Cricetulus griseus: one gene and its partner. The protein of the gene in region 1 purifies or fractionates together with the protein of each later gene. This does not show direct contact. Links are inferred from orthologs where the notes say so. Each region holds a gene or a part of one and is shown on either strand. Other genes may lie near its edges.

Region 1 (10,109 bases):
ACTTTTGCAGTTTGGGGGAAAAACAAAACATCAAAGGACTTTTCTAAACCACAACCCATTAAAAACCAACCCCAAACCCCTTCCTTCGGCATAGACTCTAAGGCTGTGAAGTTTTAGAACACTAAGAGAATCTACATTACTAAAGCTGTAACATGGAGAGTAACATGGAGCTATTTAAAATTTCAGTCCCTCAGCTCTACAAGCCACATTTTAAGTATGAAAAGTCGTAAGTAGCTGGCCTATTAGTTACTCACTAGGCAGCACAGAACACTGTTATCACAGGAAGGACTAGTGAACTGTGGCACCTGGAATGAATTTCTGTTCAGATGGCCACAGAAACTATTTTATTGTCACCTAACAGTAAAAAATTATCCTTGGCAGGAGCTCAGTAACACTTAAGCGTACATGATGCTCACACAGGGCCGGGAGTTTGATCCCAGCATCCACGTCAGGTGCCTCACAGCCAGCTTTAACTCCAAATTCCGGGGGTGGGGGGGGGTGGGGGGGCAATGCCTTATGACCTTTTCCAGGCACCTGGTATACACACATACAGTCAGGGACACATACATAAAATAAAAATTAAAAGACTACCTGGACAGCAAAACAATCCTTGTTTTAGAAATATGGGGAAAATAATTTTCAGATACTGGTCATAAAGCATTCCAAAATGAGACTTTCGGGCAAAACCTATTGAGTTTCAGAATTGTCCCAACTACACTCCCTAGTATATCCAAAGTAACAAAAACGCACAGCACAGCGGTCACCCTAACTCAGTCACCCCACCCAAGTCTGTGGTCAGAGATCAAGATGGCTAAAGCAGCTGAAAGATACAAGGCAGAGTACAGAAGGTCTAGAGACCTGCACCATATTCTCAAGTCTCGGAAAACTAAGCCACACAAGTTGAATCGAGAAACTGCAAAGCTAAGCAAAAAGACAAATACCAAAAAGTTAGACGATGCCAAGAGTTTTCAGAGAGGTGAGTAAAACCTGTATACCAACTAGCCTAAGGGGAACACTTATGGACTGTCTGAGACACAAGAGGACCAGGAAAGACCACACTTTAGGAACAAGGCTGAACTAGTCTCAAGCGAAAACTACTCTGGCCTGTACTATCCAAGCTTTAAAGCATGATCCACAAGTCACTTAAATGTCTGTCTACCAAAGGAAAAGCCAACAGTCCCCCCACCCCAGAGGAAGAGAGACAATACGGAGATTGAATTCAGGACCTCCCATATTCTAGGCAGGCACCCTAAAAATCAAACACTCTTTAAACAAAGACAGCAAGTTCAGAATTTTATATTCACAATGCTGAGTGTTCAATTTTAAAACAGTAACACATTAGATTTACAAAGAACAAAATGTGTCCCAAAACTAATGGGGAATGGAAATAGCCAACCAAATCAACTATGAACAAAAAATAACAAAATGATAATCAGCAAACAAGGATTTTAAAGAGAGCTAGTATAACACCTATGCAATTTAAAGGAAATGAGCACAAAATAGGAACTACCTTTTAGAAAGAATTATCTGAGACAGGCTTTTATTACATTATTTGGCATGTATGTGTGTACACATGTACGTGACTCATGCCACAAATGCGGAGATCAGAGGACAGCTTGCAGGAGTCCGTTCTTTCTTTCCATTGGGTTATCAGGCCTGGCAGCAAGTACCTTTAACTCTGAGTCATCTCATTGGTCCATGCAAGAATCATTAAAATGTTGCAATTTACTTTGGAAAAGGACTTAATGAATATGATAAAAGGTTGGTACTGTGAATTACTAATAAGCAAGGCCATTTTGTTCATTTAAAGAAAAACATTTCAAATAAAAAGTCACAACAAATCAGTCTCTGCAAACGCCTATGGTCTCAAACATGCACACACACTACTTCATAAGGTAGTATTTACAATGTTCTTGGGAATCATAGTACCAAGAATATAAACATTAAGACTTATTTCTAACCTTTTAGGAATTACAATTAAGTGAAAAGAAACCTTCATAATTTACTGGCTAGAATAAAATGGGAATGGGGCCCTAAGAACAAAATGAGGCATTAGAAATGATTAATAAGGGTTATCTCTAAGAAAGTTACGGGGGAAGGGGCACTCAAGCTACATCTAGTCTTCCAGAAAGAATAAACATTTAAGAACAGAAGAAACAGCACAAGTGCACAGCAGTGATGACCTTCTTTCAAAGGTTCTTGTAACTTCCAACTTTTAACTCAATCTGTCATCTCCCAAAGTGCCTACTCATCACCTGACAGCTTGGGTTTTGGATTTTATCGTTTCCTAATGCCAGTGTCAGGAAAGCAAACAACCCTAACCTAAAATCAGACATGTATTAGCTAACTTTGGAGAATACAAGCTAATACAACAGAAGATGATAGCCACATTTATATAAATACTTAAAAATCTACACTTTAACTCTGCCATAAACTATGCATACAGTAATCTATATGATGTCAAAGAAACACTTTCTCCTAGCAACACTAGCTAATTCATTATTACTGTCTGAATACACTTATATTTCCACAGAACTGAAGTGCAACACAACTGTGTTCTAACAGTCTGTCACACTTCAGATGACATCTTGACTATCTCAGGGAACCAGGCATGGCAGCAAGTGCCTGTTTATCTGCTGAGCCTTCTCACTGGCCCACTCTAATCTTCTGAAAAGGTACATTTTCTTTTGTGTGTAGAATTTTTGCCTTTTAAAGGTCTAATCCAAACTCTACTTCCTATTTTTCCCTTAACCAAACTTTTAGAGAGCTATGAGTATTAAATTATTGGACATAATTTAACTGTCTCTGTGTAATAAGTTCATAGCATCTATGTCAGTACCATGCAACACTGGCATTCACACAGTACACCACATACTTTTCTGTAGCTCATACTTCTACAGTGCAGGGTAGGTGTCAAATCCAGGGTTTTGCACATTCTAAATCTTTTAGGACTATAACTCTGATGTGGACCACTTTGAAACAACTGAAATTTGAAAAGGAAAAAAAAAAAAATGTTCCCACCACCAAACTGTCCACAGACCTACATACTTAAAATACAGGAAAGCAGCTTGATGGCTCAGCGAGCAAAGCCACTTGCAGCCAAGCATTACCATCTCAACCTACCCCACGGCTCAAATGATGAGAACTAACTCTTGCATGTTGTCCTATGACCTCTACCCTGTGCCAGGGCACACTCACTCCCCCGCCACATCCACTCCCTCCCTCCCTCCCTCTCTCTCTAACATGTGTGCGCGCACTGCTTCTCTCTAAAAGAACATATTAGCTGGGCAGTAGGGGCACACGCCTTTAATCCCAGCACTTGGGAGGCAGAGGCAGGCGGATCTCTGTGAGTTCGAGACCAACCTGGTCTGCAAGAGCCAGTTCTAGGACAGCCTCCAAAGCCACAGAGAAATCCTGTCTCGAAAAACCAAAATAAAATAAATAAAACGTATTTAAAAACTCAAAGTTATTAGCCAGCCAGCTGAAATCTGGTCCATTTGCTCAATAGGGTGCACGTGACTGTTTTCCCCTAAGCCTTGCACATGGAACCAAGCATTCCATCACTAAGCTCCAACCAGAACCACCGTTCCTATACTAACAATGTGCTTTGTTTTCTCTTCCCTTTTTTCATGTCAACATGGCAGTTCACTACTAATATATTCCTGATAATAAAATGTGCTAAACACAACACTCTGGCATTTATAGACAATCTAAAAACATGAGGCATTGTCTAAATATTTTCCTCATGGATTCTGACCTAATCCAATGAACATCCATCCTACTGTATTGGGGGAAAGTGTATAGAATTTTTCAATGCTCTAGTGAGCTCAAGTTGAAAACCAAATTCAGTCAGCACTCACAGTAGTAAGATTTAGTAAGCAACCATACAACGTTAATTAGTTAAGTAAAACCACCTTAACCTATTAACCCAACCCCTTAGGACAATACTTGTTTGGATACACGCACTGTCAAAGGATATCCAGTGATCCAAGACACTGACCGCCAGACTGGACAAAGCCCAATGAGCCCCTGGTATACATAAGATCAAGAAATAGCTTATAGTTTATAAAGACATCCTCACAGCTTGGCCCACTCTGTAAGCAGTAAACTGTAACAATGATTCTGATAAAGAATGATGGCAACAGGCATGGTGGTGCAAGCTTTAATCCCAGCACTTAGGAGGCAAAGGCAGGTGGATCTGAGTCAGTAGCTCAGCCATGACTACAAAGCAATGAGACCTTGACTCAAACAACAGATGAGAGCTTGAAGGAAGAACATTCCATCTCATTTAGTATCTGCTCTCTCATGTAAAAGGAGATAATTTTTTTTAATTATCACTCCGCTACCATTTTCCATAATTAAAAACTTCTCTAAGCAGAATTTCATGATTACCGTTTAATACATCAGCTTACCGCTAAGTAACTCAATCCAGTTCTGGACTGTCTCTGGAGGCTGAGTCTCCTTAACATGCTTTAGAGCTTCATCAAGAAGAACATCCCCTGTTGGAGCATCCGATTTACAGACCACCTAAAACACAAGCAGTCAGAAATGATCCACTGGTACTGTCTTCCCTCAAACTCATTAGATGAAAAACAAGTATGCAAATATTTCATGCTCAGAGCACTTACTGTAATTTCACTTGATGCTGAACCTTAAGCTATTTATTTTTTTAAAGATTTATTTGTTTGTTTGTTTATTATGTATATAACATTCTGCTTCCATGTATATCTGCACACCAGAAGAGGGCACCAGATCTCATAATGGATGGCTGTGAGCCACCATGTGGCTATTTAATGCAGAAATTCATTCACTATAACATTCTTAAGACTCAGAAACAGACTCAACTATATGGAAAAATTTATATAGTAAAAGGGCATTTCACATAAGTAACAGAACTAATTTTCTCAAAAAATGTCATTAAGAAAACTTTGACAAGTTGGAACAAAAACAAAATTAAGAAATGGCTCCCTTGAGCTTATGCTCAATAAAAGATAATAAAAAATATGAAGGGAAATACAATTTTAAGGATAGGTTTTATTTTAAATGCCACTGCTAGCAGAAGCCTTAATGGCTGCAAAATTACTCTATTTCCAGCACCAAGAGGGTGAGGATCGGAGGTGGGAGGGGCCGAGGACAGTCTCTAAATCTGTAATTAAAACCTGTGTCGGGTTAAAATCTTAATAGTGAAAAAGGGGCTCAAGCACACTGGCTGCTCTTCTAGGACTTGGGTTTATTTCCAGCACCAGCTCACAATCATCTGTAACTCCAGTTCCAAGGAATCCAACACCTTCTGATCTCTGCAATTACAGCATGCATGTGGTGCAAAGACATACATGCAAACAAAACATCCAGACACATAAAAGAAAAGAAATAAACCTCAAAAACAAGAGTGGAAGATCCTGGGGAGTGAGTAGGAAAGCAGCCCATACTGCCACACTACTCAACAACCTTAGGTTCCCATAGGCTTCACTCAGGTATCTCCTAAACAACACATTTCTAGTTGAAATTCTGTAATACCAAAATTCAACCCATTACAGTACCTTGGAGCGGATATTTAAAATGTTTAAATATGACTGTTCTCTCATACTTGTTTGGCTCAATCTCACTAAATATTAAAATATGTAAGACCTTATTCTTCAGGATTACACAAGAGAAATATACAACCTTAATGCCAACCACAAATCTAGCCTTGAGGAAACAACAAAGTGAAATTTATTTTTAAATATTGGATTTAACCCAATATAACCAAAAACTGTCCCATAATAGATATTTGTTTAAAAGCTGAGATATTGTTTCCACTAATACTGTTTTTAAAAACCCAATGTGTTTTTACAGCACAGATCAATTTTCGATGGTGGCCTGATTACTATGCTGGACAGTACAGATACAGAAATATTCAGAATGTTCATTCCATGGTGCTTAGTTAGACCAGGATTTATGGAGGAGAAAAAGAACTTCGGGAGAAAAGAATACTATGTCTCTGGTGTTGCAGCCATGAAACCTACACTTTTTTCTTCCACTCCTTCCCTCTTTCCATGTGGTCAGGAGCTGGCATCATCAGCCACCTTCCTCGTGCACCCCACTTTAAGGCAAGTGATTTATCAGAGTACAAATAATCCGGCTATAAGCAGATAATTTATTTTCTTCTCAGTTCTGCTTTAAATCTTCCTCACATGTGTCACCTCCTCTATTATCTTTGCCAGGATTTTAGCCCCCAAGTCTGACCATCTTTCATTTGGAATAATTTGTCTCCTGACTAAAGGTCTTCAACTTTTTAATGTTTTGGGGATACTTTTATTTATTTGATAACTTTATAACATAGATACACTGTAACTTGATCATATCCAACCCAAACTTCCCAACCCTTCTCCTCTCACTTCAGTCCCCCACCCCCAATACACACACACACACACACTCACTCGGGGGGGGGGGGGAATATTAGCCCACTGTGTCTAGCTAGTGTGTGGCCTGTATGCACTTGGGTGTGAGAGGCAACCTACCAGTGGTCACACACACCAATCTCCCCTGCAGCCATCAGTTGCTCCTCAACTGGGGGGTGGAGGGACTTTCATGAGACCTCTCCACTTGGCGCTGGAATGCTAACTGGCTTCATCTTATACAGGTGCTGTCTGTGAGTGCACAAGGGGAACACCTTTGGCATCTTTCAGTTCCAAGCTCCAATCTGAGCTCTTCAAGGGGCAAATCTTATATTTCATTGCTCGTGACCAAAACGAATCAGAGAATCAAACAAATTCTAAATTCCTTTTAAAATGTCAAGAATAGCCAGACTTTCATCTCAGCACTTTGGGAGGCAGAGGCAGGTGGATCTCTGAGCTTCTGAGGCCAGCCTGAACTACAGAATGAGTTCCAGCACATCCAGAGCTGCAGAGAGAAACTCTGCCTTGAAAACCAAAAAAGAAAAATACTTCAGTATGTGTGGGTTTAAAATATGCGCTACAATTCTTGCTACATCCAACATAGAAGAGACGGAAAGAAGATAAAACAAGACCTCTGAGGAAATGTATTATATAGATAAAGGAGTTTCAAAAAGCCTCAAGGATTTAACAAACAATATTAGATTCATAAAATAAGAAACCCTGTGGGAACTGCAACCTTAGAGCAAAGAGGCCCAAGATCAGCTGTGCAGCAGATGGGCATGGGTGGTGAGCAATGAGGACATGTATGTGGGCAGATGCAGCCAGAAGCTAAGAAATCAAACAACCCAAAACCAGGGGGCTATAAACAGATTCTCCCTTAGAGCCTTGGGAAAAACAACACAACTACATCTCCTAACTCTGACCTCCAAAACTGAGAGAATTCTTTCTTGCTTAAAGCCCCTATGGCTGTGGTCATTTGTTAGGGTGGCTTTAAAATAACTAAAGACAGTGATGGCACATGCCTTTAATCCTAGCACTCAGGAGACTCTCTGAGTTTGAGGCCAGCCTAGTCTACATACTGAGCTCCAGGACAGATGGGACTACAGAGACACACTATCTCAAAAAAAGACTAATATAGTTGGCTTCCAGAAACAGAAGTAACGAATGAGGAAAAACAGCTACTTTTGGTTTTCTAACTGTATCATTCTTAATTAAATCAGCAATTACTTTTAAAATTTAACTAAGTCATATGGAATATTTTCCAGCAACCTTACCTTCTTCACATCACTCAGAACTAGACTGACTTAAAGTTTCACCACTGTTTCCCAGAGTCTAGCACAGTGCATGATGTACTAAAACACTGAATGAACAATGAATAAAGGAACAGACGATCACCAGTTGCTCATGCACAGCACAAAACTGACTCCTGTTAGCACAATATTCTTTCTTAGGTCAGGACTCTAATGAAAAGTTCCTAAATTAGTAACCTGTATATGCATTCTATTATTAGCTACAACGACAGCTTCCTTGGGTTGTTTTTGCCCATAAACTACTACAGTCGCTGACGAACATAAAATTGTAACCTGATTTATGATATAGTTATCCAAAACAGTAATTTGTTAAGTTTTCTCAATGCCAGCTCACTTGTCTTGAGGGCAAATGGCTGGATTTACCATAGAGATGCCATGAAAGCGTTTCTATGGTGTCAGCCTATAATCTCGGCAGTCCAGGGACTGTCAGAAGATCTAAATTCAAAGCCTTGCAAGTGCTACACAGCAAGACTGACTCAAACAAACATGTCCACATTACTCCACTCATCCAGTACTGAGCTCAAACACAGGCCCTCACACACTCTAAGGGAGCACTCACCCTAAGCTAGCTGCATTTACTCCAATCCAGCAATATTACTTCCTGCATATAACTTTCATTAACACATTATGACATGCCTTCTTATAACATTATCATGCTCTGGTTTATCAGTCAGAAAATTCAGAGCAAGGAATGAAGCACAGGCTTGTATTCTTCGTGCTCTGCAGACAGAGTCAGCAGACCTCCAGGTGAAGGCCAGCATGAGCTACATAGTGAGTTCCAGGGTCAGCCTTGGTTACATTTGTTAGAATCCTTTATCACTTATTACAGAAGTAGCGATTAACATTCTAGGTATCAGCTCCAGAATATTTGTTACTATGAATTTGGTTGTATATAGAATATATACTGGGTGCATTGTATTCTCAAATAGACCCCAGAGAAAGGAATCCTTCTCACCGGGGTGTCACAGTAAGCGCTGCAGCCTCAGATCTCACACTATGTAAACGTAGTTTTCCCTTTGATATATAGCACTGAGAAGCCCCCTTTAATGAATTAACAGCATGTATTGCAAGTCACATGCCCCAAGACTTAAGTTTGCCAGGACGTTTTGCAAGTCACGTCCAGGAGAAGAGATGTAAGACACCGGCTTTTCTCAAGATCCTACCCGCCTTCCTGGCTCTAAGAGATATGCATGTTTTATTGTCAGAAAATTGTCAAAATTAGAAGTCTTGTGAAATAAAAGAGACCTCAGGAGAACTTTTAAAAGAAACTTCTGGAAGACTTTTTAGAAAGAACTTTGAACAATTTTTAAGAACTTTGGAGGAGAAAGTTTTTAAACAGAAGTCTTAAAGAGAGCTTTTGAGAGAGAACTTTTTGGGGAAGCCTCCATCTTTGAAGAATAGAGAACCATGAGAGAAACGCATGTGTGAGCCGGTTTATCTCCCTCTCACCCTCAGACTCCTTTTACAAAAACCCTACCCACCTGCTGTCTGCTAGCCCCTAGCCTGGACCCTGAGAGAGCATCATGACTGGAACTTGAATGCTGTTGTTAACTCTTGTCTTAAAACACTAAACGGCAACAAGATGTTTGGTTCTGGCCTAATTCTTGGATTTATGCATATAATACAATTACATAAATAAATAAATAAGTAAATAAATTTAAGAATTGGATTTGAAACACCATGTCCAAAGCATAAGAAACAGTCTTGAATATCTGAGATTGAGGCTAAAGTTAAAAATCCAAAACTAGCATATATATTTCTGTCCTACCACAGCAGTACCTACCTACAACTTCACTGTGGACAAGAGAGATGAAAAGCAATCACATTCTCCCCAAAAAATGAATGCCCTATGAGTAATTACTTTCCACAAAACTCCTGAACTGTCTAAAGTTATCTCAAGGTCTTCAGACGCAAACAAAATTCAGCATCTTGCTAGGATGCAGCAGTCAGTGACTGACATCATTTGTTACATATGCAAAGAACCAGAAAAACCAAGAATGCAATCCAATAAAGATAATCTTAAACTATTTAAACATTTTAAGCTATTAAAATATTCATCACTTATACAGAACAAATTCTTGCAAATGGGGGAATTATTTAGAAGTGCTCTTACCTTTCTTGTTAAAAGACTTTTTCTTCTCATTCCACAAGCCTCTAGTTGTAACCTTCCTCTCAATGCTAATTCAATTAACATACAGCCACGTAATCCAGAGGATATACAGTCATTCCAAAATGATGTATAACCCTATTTTAAAAGAACAAGGAAAACAAAACAGTCAATTCACCTTGACTCTAGAGTAGAAATAGCAACTGTGAGTACTTTTCACCACAGGCTTTTTCTTTTAGGTCACCAACCAGCTCCCAAGTCATGGTATGGGGACTTACTAGTTTTGAATGCTCTGCCTTAGCTTATTTCTTTCCT
Region 2 (10,109 bases), on another chromosome or scaffold:
AGATGCCAGCCTTGTGGCATCTGGGAACCAGAGAACCAAAAAAAAAAAAAGGCCAGGATCCCCAAATCTTCATCAAAAATGTACACCAGTAATGTGACACTGGGCCCCAGCTCCTGAAGACTTCTTCACATCTCATAGTGCTGCAGGCTGGCAGTTAATACCTTAGCAGATGAGCCTGGTGACTGGGGTGGGAGGGCTTGGGATCCAAATATCCTGAACTGAATCTCCCAAAGGCCTCACCTCTTACAGCCTTGCACTGGGGATTAAGTTGCAACAAGAACTTGGGGGCAGCAAAAATATTCAAAGGATAGCAGCTGCTTTGCCTGCACTGTCGTCAGGGCTAGTAGATTCTCCAGTCATTAAAGGAAGTTTTAGGAAAAGAATGGAAGGGCCCGGGTGGTGGTAGTACAGGCCTTTAACTCCAGCACTTGGGCAGAGGCAGGCAGATCTCTGTAAGTTTGAGGCCAGCCTGGTCTACAGAGCAAGTTCTAGAACAGCCAGGACTACACAGAAACAAAAAGAATGAGAGGGTGATCATTTTCCCAGAGTCACCATTCCTTTCCTAATGGAATGCTATTTTTATATCTGCTATGAGCTGATTCTGTCTCAACCTCTGAAAGCTCCTGGGCAGTTTTTCTGGTTTGAAGCTGCCAGCAGGTTTGCTTACAGGAATAAGGTTTTAATGATTCCAGAAGTAATATACACCTGGCTTTTGGAGGAAGTATCAGGGAGAGCCTTTTAAACGTTGTATAGGCTTAGGATTTCTGCATTCTCCCTTTGCACTGGGAACTCAAAGTGTGTACCACAGCATCTTACGGCATCTTGACAGGAAAAGGGTCCTTGTTACATGAGTTTATTTGCTATTTGATACTTTAGTTCAGGCTGTTAATGATCCTGTGTCTAATTAGTTATGCCTGGCTTATTTTTAATTTAAATGATTTGAGCTGTTGGAGCATGAAATTATCTAGGATCACAGTTGGGTTTTTACAGAATGTGCTCTTGCTTTGATGCTGAGAAGGGAACAAACACTTGGACCTAATTTACTGTCTTAATTTAATTTTCAGCTTTGGGAACCCCTCGCTGGATGAGAGAAGCATTCTTGCCCCTCTCTATCAGTGTTGCATGTAAGTTAATGCATAGCAGGTGTGTCTGCCTGCATTACCTCCTTCAGGTTCAGGTACCAGTACATCGGTTTTCTTGACCTTAAAACATCCGGGTTGCTTTTCCTACTTCTATAACCCAGAACCCCTGTAAAGCCTGACAGTGCTGAGGGAAGCACAGAGGTAGGTCACCCAAAGCTCGGAATTCATTTTGAATTTTGCATCAGTAAGTTTGTAGTATCTATAGTAATACATGCCTGTTTGGCTTAATATACCTATCACCTGCTAAAAACAATCTAGCTGGGCTTCATCCCCAGCACCTAAGATGCAAAAGCAGGTGGATCTCTGTGAGTTTAAGGCTACCCAGGACTACATAGTGGGTTCTAGGCCAGCCAGGACTACATAGTGAGACAATCTCAAAAAAATTGGTTTGCTTTTTTTAAATCGGTTACAATCTGCATTCTTCGTTGCTGCATCTGGTTTACCTTGTTTCAGACCCTCCCACCTGGAGTTTGTATGTCTTAGTTTGAAGTTATCTAATCCAAAAATAACTTCCTCTAAGTATTTAAAGAGTGATTTAAATATAGTAGAGATTAAAGAAACTGAGAAGTAAATCAAGAAAATGAAATAAAACCTGGCCCTAGGAGCTCCTGCTTCAGGTCCCAGCTCCTGGGCTGATTTTGAAGTTTGCATATCAAGAACCAGCAGGATTTGCCTCACTGGCTGCAGAAAGCAGGTCTGGGAACACCCTAGTGCTAGTCATCCCAGAAACAGCCCCTGTGACTTTGCCTTCTTTCTGTCTTTTCACTTGTCTTATCTGTCTGTCTGTGTTTTTCCAGTGCTGGAACTAAATTCAGAATCTTGTGCCTGCTAAGCAAGTACTTTACCACTGAAGTATACACCAGTGTCCCCCACCACATGCGCGCGCGCACACACACACACACACACACACACACACATACACACACACACTTCTGCTATTGTATGTGTGAACATAGGCATATGTGTGCATATATGTGTGTAGGTTTGAGGACAGTCTTGGTGTCATCCTCAGGAACAGCACACCCTTTTTTTTTTTTTTTTTTTTTTTTTTTAAGAAAAGGTCTTTTATTGCCCTGGAACTTACCTGGCTTGCCATTAAGCCCTGGGGGTCCTTGTGTCTCCATTTCCCTGACTCTGTGTTTACAAGTATGTACTGCTCTACATGAATCATAGGGGTCACACTCAAGTCCTTATGGTTGCAGACCACTTTACAGACTCAGCTCTTCAGCCCAACTGTCTCCACCCTTTCCTGTCATTCCCCTCCTTCCCTAGCTCTTCCCCCTGGTCCTTCCTTATTTTCTTTCACACTGCCCTCAGAATCCCAGAATCCTTGCCTCAGTCTCCCAAGTACTGGGATTATATACAAGTCTGTGCCACTGTGCTCAGCCTTTTCTTTCTCAGTAGGAAACTGAGTTCTTTAGAAAGTCATATGTACCTGGGCCGCCCTCATTCTCCTTACTAATGTGGAAAGCTGAGAGCAGGTGGGATACAGGCAGTCAGCAGCTGATGTCATGATCTGCAGAGGAAGAGATGACTCTGGGAAGCCTCTGAGCCACCTTCAGGACACATTTATAGGCCCACAGAGTGAATCAGATTGGTGATGCCATACTGGTCCCTATGTCAGGAAAGCCTCAGTGCTGTCATCCCAGCGCTTAGGGGTGGGAGGGGAGGTGGGGGGAGTAGGAGAAGTATCGTTTTGAGCTGTTTAGCAAATCCAGTCTTCTGGACTACATGAGACCCTGTCTGAAAAAGGGACCTCAGGGAAGTGATCAGATGAGGCTGCAGCTTCATGGGTTTGCATCTTCTGAGAATACAGCTGAGGCAGAGCTTTGTTGGAGACCTCCTTCCTGTACCACTAAACTACTTACCCTACAATAGCCAGAGGCACTGAGAGAGCCCCTTCCTGCTGCACTGTCCCTCTTCTGGTTTATGAGGAGACACTATTGAGAATATGAGAAGCAAATACTGGAGTGTGAAGTTGGTGTGGGTCAATCAAGTAGCAGCTCTGTTACCCTGGAGAAGCTCTGATGCCTGTGCATCTACAGTAGAGTTCAGAGTCACAATGCTGTCCAGTGCATGTAGTCCATCTCTTCTGTGCTTTGTACAAAGACTCATCTTCCTTACTTTAAGTAGCTGCAAAAGAGTCTACTTCTCTCAAAGTAAGACACGTATGCATGCCTGCTTACCTCTCCTGTGTCCACATTCTGCCTAGTTACCTCTCCTGTGTCCACAGAGAGGTAAGAACTTATCTTGAGATAAATCACTTCTCTTTGGTCACTTATTCTATTTCATTCTGCTATAACAGAAAGTCACAAACCAAGGCATTTCCTTTAAATGTATTTTATTTTATTTTTATTATGTGTGTTTGTATGCATTGTGTGTAGGCATGGGCTTGTGTACCAGTGTATGAGTGGAGGTCAGAGGACAGTTTAGGCACTTGACTCCTTCCATCCGCCTTAAATGGTCTCCAGGGATGATACTCTGGTCACCTAATATCAAAACCCTGGCACCCTGAAAGAGCTCTTTAAAAAAAAAAAAAAAAAAAAGATTTTATTTATTTATTATGTATACAACATTCTGCTTCAATGTATATCTGCACACCAGAAGAGGGCACCAGATCTCATAACGGATGGCTGTGAGCCACCATGTGGTTGCTGGGAATTGAACTCAGGATCTCTGAAAGAGCATCCAATGCTCTTAACCTCTGAGCCATCTCTCCAGCCCCTGAAAGAGTTCTTACTGTGTTACTCCTTGACAAGAGATGGAATTGCAGAGGGCAGCATCAGCATCACCTCTGCCCACATGAACTGGTTGAATCTTTAGAATACTGTTCCAGTGGCAACTGCTTTCTCACATGAGTGTTACTGGGGATAAATACCTAAACCATAGCAATTAGTGAAATAACTTAGGGAATTATGTCTGTGCGTCTGTCTTTGTGTCTGTCTGTGGTACTATGTGTTCCTGAATGCAGTGCCTGCAGCAGCCAGAAGAAAACATTGGTTCCCCTGAAGCTTGAGTTACAGGCCACTGTGCACAGCTCAGAAAACTGAACATGGAAACTGAACATGGGTCCTCCCTCTCCAAGAGCAATAAATGCTCTTAATTGCTGAGCCACTTCCATCTCCAAGAAAGTAGTTTTTTTGTTTTTTGTTTTTGTTTTTGTTTTTGTTTTTTTTTCCAGTGGTAGTGGGTGGGGTTTTGAGACAGGGTTTCTGTGTGTATCCCTGGCTGTACTGGAACCTGCCCTGTAGACCAGCCTGGACTTGAACTCACAGAGATCTGTCTTCATATATATATATATGAAGTATATATATATACTCATTCTTAGAGTAAATATTTTTCTATTATTAATGGTTGAATTTTTAAAATTCAGAAATTGAGCATCTGAGGATAGTTCCTGTTAACACAGTGAACTTCATTCTACATTCTAACCCTGCAGTTCCGTTGCTCTAATCATACACGTTAGTTTCCCTACAGATGTGGAATAGAAGTTTTCCTCTCCAATTTTCTCAACTCTAACATAATTATCATGGACATTTCCCCATGCCACTCGGTTTTCAAACCTTTTTAATGGCTGCATGATATTTCCCTAGTGGATTGGCCATAATTTGAAGTATTTCTTGCTTGTTAGACATTTAGATTGGTTCAGTTTTCCTCTTACTGCAATGAATATGTATAAATCTTTGTATATATCTCCTTTGTTTGTTTGTTTGTTTGTTTGTTGAGACCAGATTTCTCTGTGTAACAGCCCTGGCTGTCCTAGAACTCACTCTGTAGACCAGGCTGGCCTTGAACTCACAGAGCTCTGCCTTCCTCTGCCTCCTAAACTGCCCAGCTTTTGTAGATATTTCTAATTACTCCCCAAAATTTACAACATGGCAGTGCAGCTTACTTTTAATAAAGAGGTAAGTCTGAAATAGAAGTGATTTTTTTTCTTTTAGTTGAAATATTTTACACAATTTTTAAAAAAACTTTTCTGCTATCCAAGCTTTATACAGAATTTGATAGAAAGATGTTATGTAACTTCTTTTAAAACTTTTTCTTTCAGCATTCGGGTTTCAACCTGGAATAGACTGAACTACCTAAAGAATGGAGTGCTAAAGTCTGCCTTAAAATCTGCCATGGCCCATGACCCCATCTCCCCTGTGCTCTCTGATCCACACTTGGACACTGTGGACCAGCGGCTTCTGAATGTCCTTGCCACTGTCAAGCAGTGTACTGACCAGTTTGGGATGGACACTGTGCTGGTGGAAGACAGGATGCCGCTCTCCCACTTGTAACTCTCAACGTGAAACAGGTGGAACTGGTTTATACGAAGATAGAGAAACAGCACAATCAATTCCAAGTGGCATGTGATGGCCTGGAAGTGGCCAGCAGCGGGTATTGGTGGTGCTGGGAGTGCTTGGTGTTTACTGCAGTGTCGGCATGGGAGCTTGTCTGTGGAGTCACCTGGCATCCACAGCAGTGGCCTATTCAGGCAGCAGGCTCCATCTCTGGTCAGTCTTATTCCCACAAAAAGGACAAACAGGTGTGACACTGGCTAAGCAGTTTGGTTCCAGAGTTTGTGTCTGGGGTGGAGCATGCCATCTTTTCTCCACACCCATAGATTCTGTAGATTGACTTTGCAGTCCCTTGTGTCTTTAAAAACAAACAACAAACAAAGGCAGAACTAGTCAGATTATAAAATGTCCTGCTCCTCCAGAGTGGCATCAGACAAAAGAGCACAGGCTGCTGGAGGAGACCCATTTTAAGGTAGATGGAGGAAGGGAAGGTCAGGTCAGGAAGGTGTTGGGGCTCGTAGCTATTGAGTGCTATGGATTTGACATCTCAGGGAAGAGAAGAGGGAGGGACTCACTCTGTAGAACCAGGAGGATGATTGCCTTAGTGAAAATCAGCTTCCCCTGTGTTTAGGTTCTTAAATGTGTCCAAAGCAAACACTCACCCTCTAGTCCTGTTCAAATAAACCAAAACTGTCTACAGAGGAAATAGGATTACAACCCAAGCATACTCCCTGCCAGGCACTGACTTACCCTCTAAGTAGCAAAACAAGCTGAAATAATACAAGTTTGGTACCTGTGATCTCTGTCATCCTCACCTTCCCCACACACACACACACACCTTGTTGGTATTGTTTATTTTGAGGTAGACTATAGGCTCTTACTCTAGCCCATGCTGGTCTGGAATTTAGTATATAATCAGGCTAGCTTTGAACTGGCAGCAATCCTCCTGCCTCAGCCTTCCACATGCTAGGATTATTAGTATGAGCAACCATACTCACCTCTCGTTTCTCTTCTAAGGTGTAAGGCATTTAATCAGCGATGCTGCTGTCATGAGGTTAATGGCCTTGTTTGTGCCTTCTTATTAGAAAGCGTCCTGCTGGTTGCTGGACTGAGCTTGTGATGTAGGCCCTGCAGGTAGCAGAGAAAAAGATTTTAAGCCTTCTGAGCCTTGAAACTGAGACTACCATGAAGAGCCTTAATATTTTGGTTCATATTGGAGTTTTGAACCCATGGTGTAGTTAGTAGAATTCATCTCCTTGCAGCATTGTCAAGTTTAGGCTTAGTTGTGTGTTCTGGCAAAGTCACTTGACATGGAAGCAGCTGGTGGTAAATTACAGGGCTCGGGACGGTGTCCACACACGGAGCTGTGTGTTCCCTCTGCCTCTTGTCCAGTTCTGGACTTCTGTCAAGACCAGCCTTTCAGTGCCATGCTTGACATTTAGTGCCAGCCATGGAGCCTGGATTGAGCAACTACCTTCTGAGTTTAAGCCCTCAGGTTTCTCACACTTGGCAAGGTTGGCAGGGCAGGGAGGCGGCCATAAGCTTCTAGCTCCAAATTTATAGACACAAAAGTTGTGTTGGAGAAAAAAGGAGAGGCACGTTTTTAAAAAGTGTTGTAACTCTGGCCTCTTTCCAGGTCATTTATGAGAGTTAGGGCTGTTATAATCAAGCCACCAGAGGGAGCTAGGTCTGCTCTAAATTACATTTGCCAACTGAACACTGAATACATGGACATATTTACTACAAAACCAAGAAACTGGAACCTATTGCAGTTTCCTCATTTGCTCCCACTTCTTAAATATATGTATTCTGAAGTTGAAATGAGAAATTTAGGTATAGAATTTTTATTCTCAAACTGTTCCTTAGTCTCAGGCTGCACTGTGCTATAAATTCCTTTTAAAACAATGGGCTCTAATTTGCTGAAGATGGGTGGTATTTTTAAGGTATGTCTCCCTGTTTGCACTCAGGGTTAAAGTGTCAAGACTAAATTTTAAGAAGAAAATGGAAGGATTTGACTACATTTATTACAGATTATTTTAGCAAAGTGAATCCTGGCAGCTTTTCTTTTTTTCCCAGTGCTGGTGACAGAATTGCCATCCAAAGAATTTGTGTTTTCTTTGAAACACTCACACCTTGGCTCTGCATCTCCATGACCACACCCTTCAGCCTCCCTTCTCATTCCTCACTTGGTCTCTTTGACCAGCAATTGACCTTCTCTTGTGACCATAAGACAGCTTCGGTCAGCAAGCTCCCTTGTGCCTCTGATCTGGCTTTCAGGATGGTGGGTACAGGGCTTTTTGGGTCAGTATGGCCGTGTTGTATTCTGCCAAGGAACATAGATTTCCTTTGACACAAGGAAATACTGACTGACACTGAGAAAGGACTTGGCCAGTAAAGGTTAGCACGTTCACCAAGCATCTCCTGAGCAGTCTGCTGAGCCAGGTGACCTGACTGTGAAACTTGCTCCATGGGGGAGGCTGGCTTTTCTCCCCTGTATCTCTCTAGGCTGGGTGGTGAATGGGGACTGGGTACTGCACTGTCACGCGTTTTTAGGACCTACAGTGATCCTCAAACTATTGGGGGAGGCTGGGAATAACTTACTGGGAGATTAATTTATTTGTCTAAAGGGTGGTGTAGGCATCACTGCCCTCTTGTTTGATCTGCCTGGGATTTCCTCTTGGAGCTGTTGTACAGACAGAGGTTGTACTTGGTAAGACACCAAACAAATTTCTAATGTGTTCTATGGGTTTCAATTCTGAAAAAGAAATAATAAAGATTTTAATATATATTATTGTATCATGTTTTCCTGTTAATACTTTTTTTTTCTCCCCAGTGCTTCCTATTCCATTTTCCTACCTGTTTTTAAGGAACAAAACATTACATCCTTTGCCTCTACTTAAACTTCCATAGGGATTGCTTCCAGTGAGTGAGCGCCACAGACTTAGGCCCACACAGTCAGCTGTAGCGGACTTCAAAGTTGTCATAATCTTCAGGGTGTCCTGGATGTTTAATAGTTAGCTCCTTTCTCGAAGCTTCTTGTGAGATGAAGAACTATGAATCCTAAGTAGGACTTAGCAGAAACAAATTCCCCTGATTAGAATTCTTAGGATACTCAGAATTTTCATTTTTGAAATGGAAATCCAGTATCTTAAACCCTCAGCCAAGGGCTAGAGTGATGGCTCAGTGGTTAAGAGCACTGTCTGCTCTTCCAGAGGTCCTGAGTTCAATTCCCAGCAACCACATGGTGGCTCACAACCATTTGTAATGAGATCTGGTGCCCTCTTCTGGCTTGCAGGCATATGTGCAGGCAGAACACTGTATACATAATAAATTAAAAGTAAATAAACCCTCCACCAGACAAGCAGCTTAGATTTCCTCTTGGTTTGCTGCCAGCTCTTGTCTTTGTATTTGTCCATCACAATGGAGAGCAGGCCAAGACTGGTGTGTGTTCCTCCCTGACGTATCACGTTGTATTGTTGTGATTAGAACACCATGACCAAGGCAACAAGTTATCAGATAAGGGCCCATGGTGGAGAGGTAGAGGTGGCAGGAATGGTGGCTGGAGCAGAAGCTGTGGGCTCACCCCTTCAACCACAAGCATGAAGCAGAGCAAATTTGAAATGATAGGAGTCTTAAACTTTCTTTTTTTTTTCTTTTTGGTTTTTCGAGACAGGGTTTCTCTGTACAGCTTTGGAGCCTGTCCTGAAAGACACTCAGTAGACCAGACTGGCCTTGAACTCACAGATATCCGCCTGCCTCTGCCTCCCAAGCACTGGGATTAAAGGTGCACCACCACCCGGCTAAACTCTTCTTTTTTTAAGACAGAGTTTCTCTGTGTAGCAATGGCCACTCTGGAACTCTCTCTAGACCAGGCTGGCCTTGAACTCAGGACCACCTACCTCTGCCTCCCAAGTGCTGGGATTAAAGCCAGGGGCCACCACTGTATGACAGGTCTTTAACTCTTAACTCCTTCCTCCGGTCACAAGGCCATAGCTCCCAAACCTCCCAAACGTCACCATCAATTGCAGACCAAGTATTTGAATGCCCAAGACTGAGGGACAGTTCTCATTCAAATGGTCACATAGATCTTCCTGCACACGCCACAGGAGGACCCCTTCACTCCTCAGCACACGTATGGCTTTCATTTCTTAGAGCAGGCGGCGCGGGGGGGGGGGGGGCAGTATAAACCCCAGTATGCATCTGTGTCCTGAGCAATGCAACATGCCACCCAGATGTGACTGGCCCTTCATGTAAGAAGCCTCTAGAACAGGAGTTCTCACCCTTCCTGCTGACACCCTTTAATACAGTTCCTCTCAACAATGATGGAATAAAAGCTCCATGACTCCAGAATTGGGGAGCTGTGAACTCAAGATTCAGGACCACCAGGGCCTGCACTTCTGTCCCCTGCCTGAGGTCATTGTGTTGAGTGTACCCTCTCTTGAAAGAACAGTCACAGAGCACAGGGATCCCACAAGTGCCCTAGGCCACGGAGGTTGAACCTTTACCAGGTGAACTAGGACACATTCATCCTGGTGGTTTCAGGGTCTGTTTACCAAATTTATTTATTTGGAGATAAGAGGCTTGTGTTGTCCCCAGAGATTGTTTTCAAGAGAGATGGTCCTGGCTACCTTCAGCGGGGTGGGAAGTGGCTTTTCAAAAGTGAGGTTCAGAGCTGGAAAGGTGGCTC

Evidence for each region.
Region 2: the proteins of Golph3 (region 1) and Fam20b purify together in Homo sapiens (affinity purification with mass spectrometry; 3 studies listed by BioGRID and IntAct, with this or other methods). This does not show direct contact. The link is inferred for Cricetulus griseus from reciprocal best matches to the Homo sapiens genes GOLPH3 and FAM20B.

Annotation. Positions count from the first base shown.
Region 1 is NC_048595.1:345,377,578-345,387,686, reverse strand, and holds part of Golph3 (Golgi phosphoprotein 3), read right to left. Parts: intron 9,933-10,109; coding exon 9,801-9,932; intron 4,528-9,800; coding exon 4,413-4,527; intron 1-4,412. UniProt on the Homo sapiens protein: Phosphatidylinositol-4-phosphate-binding protein that links Golgi membranes to the cytoskeleton and may participate in the tensile force required for vesicle budding from the Golgi.
Region 2 is NC_048598.1:35,160,779-35,170,887, forward strand, and holds the end of Fam20b (glycosaminoglycan xylosylkinase), read left to right. Parts: intron 1-1,064; coding exon 1,065-1,124; intron 1,125-5,190; coding exon 5,191-5,422; 3' UTR 5,423-8,210; downstream 8,211-10,109. UniProt on the Homo sapiens protein: Responsible for the 2-O-phosphorylation of xylose in the glycosaminoglycan-protein linkage region of proteoglycans thereby regulating the amount of mature GAG chains.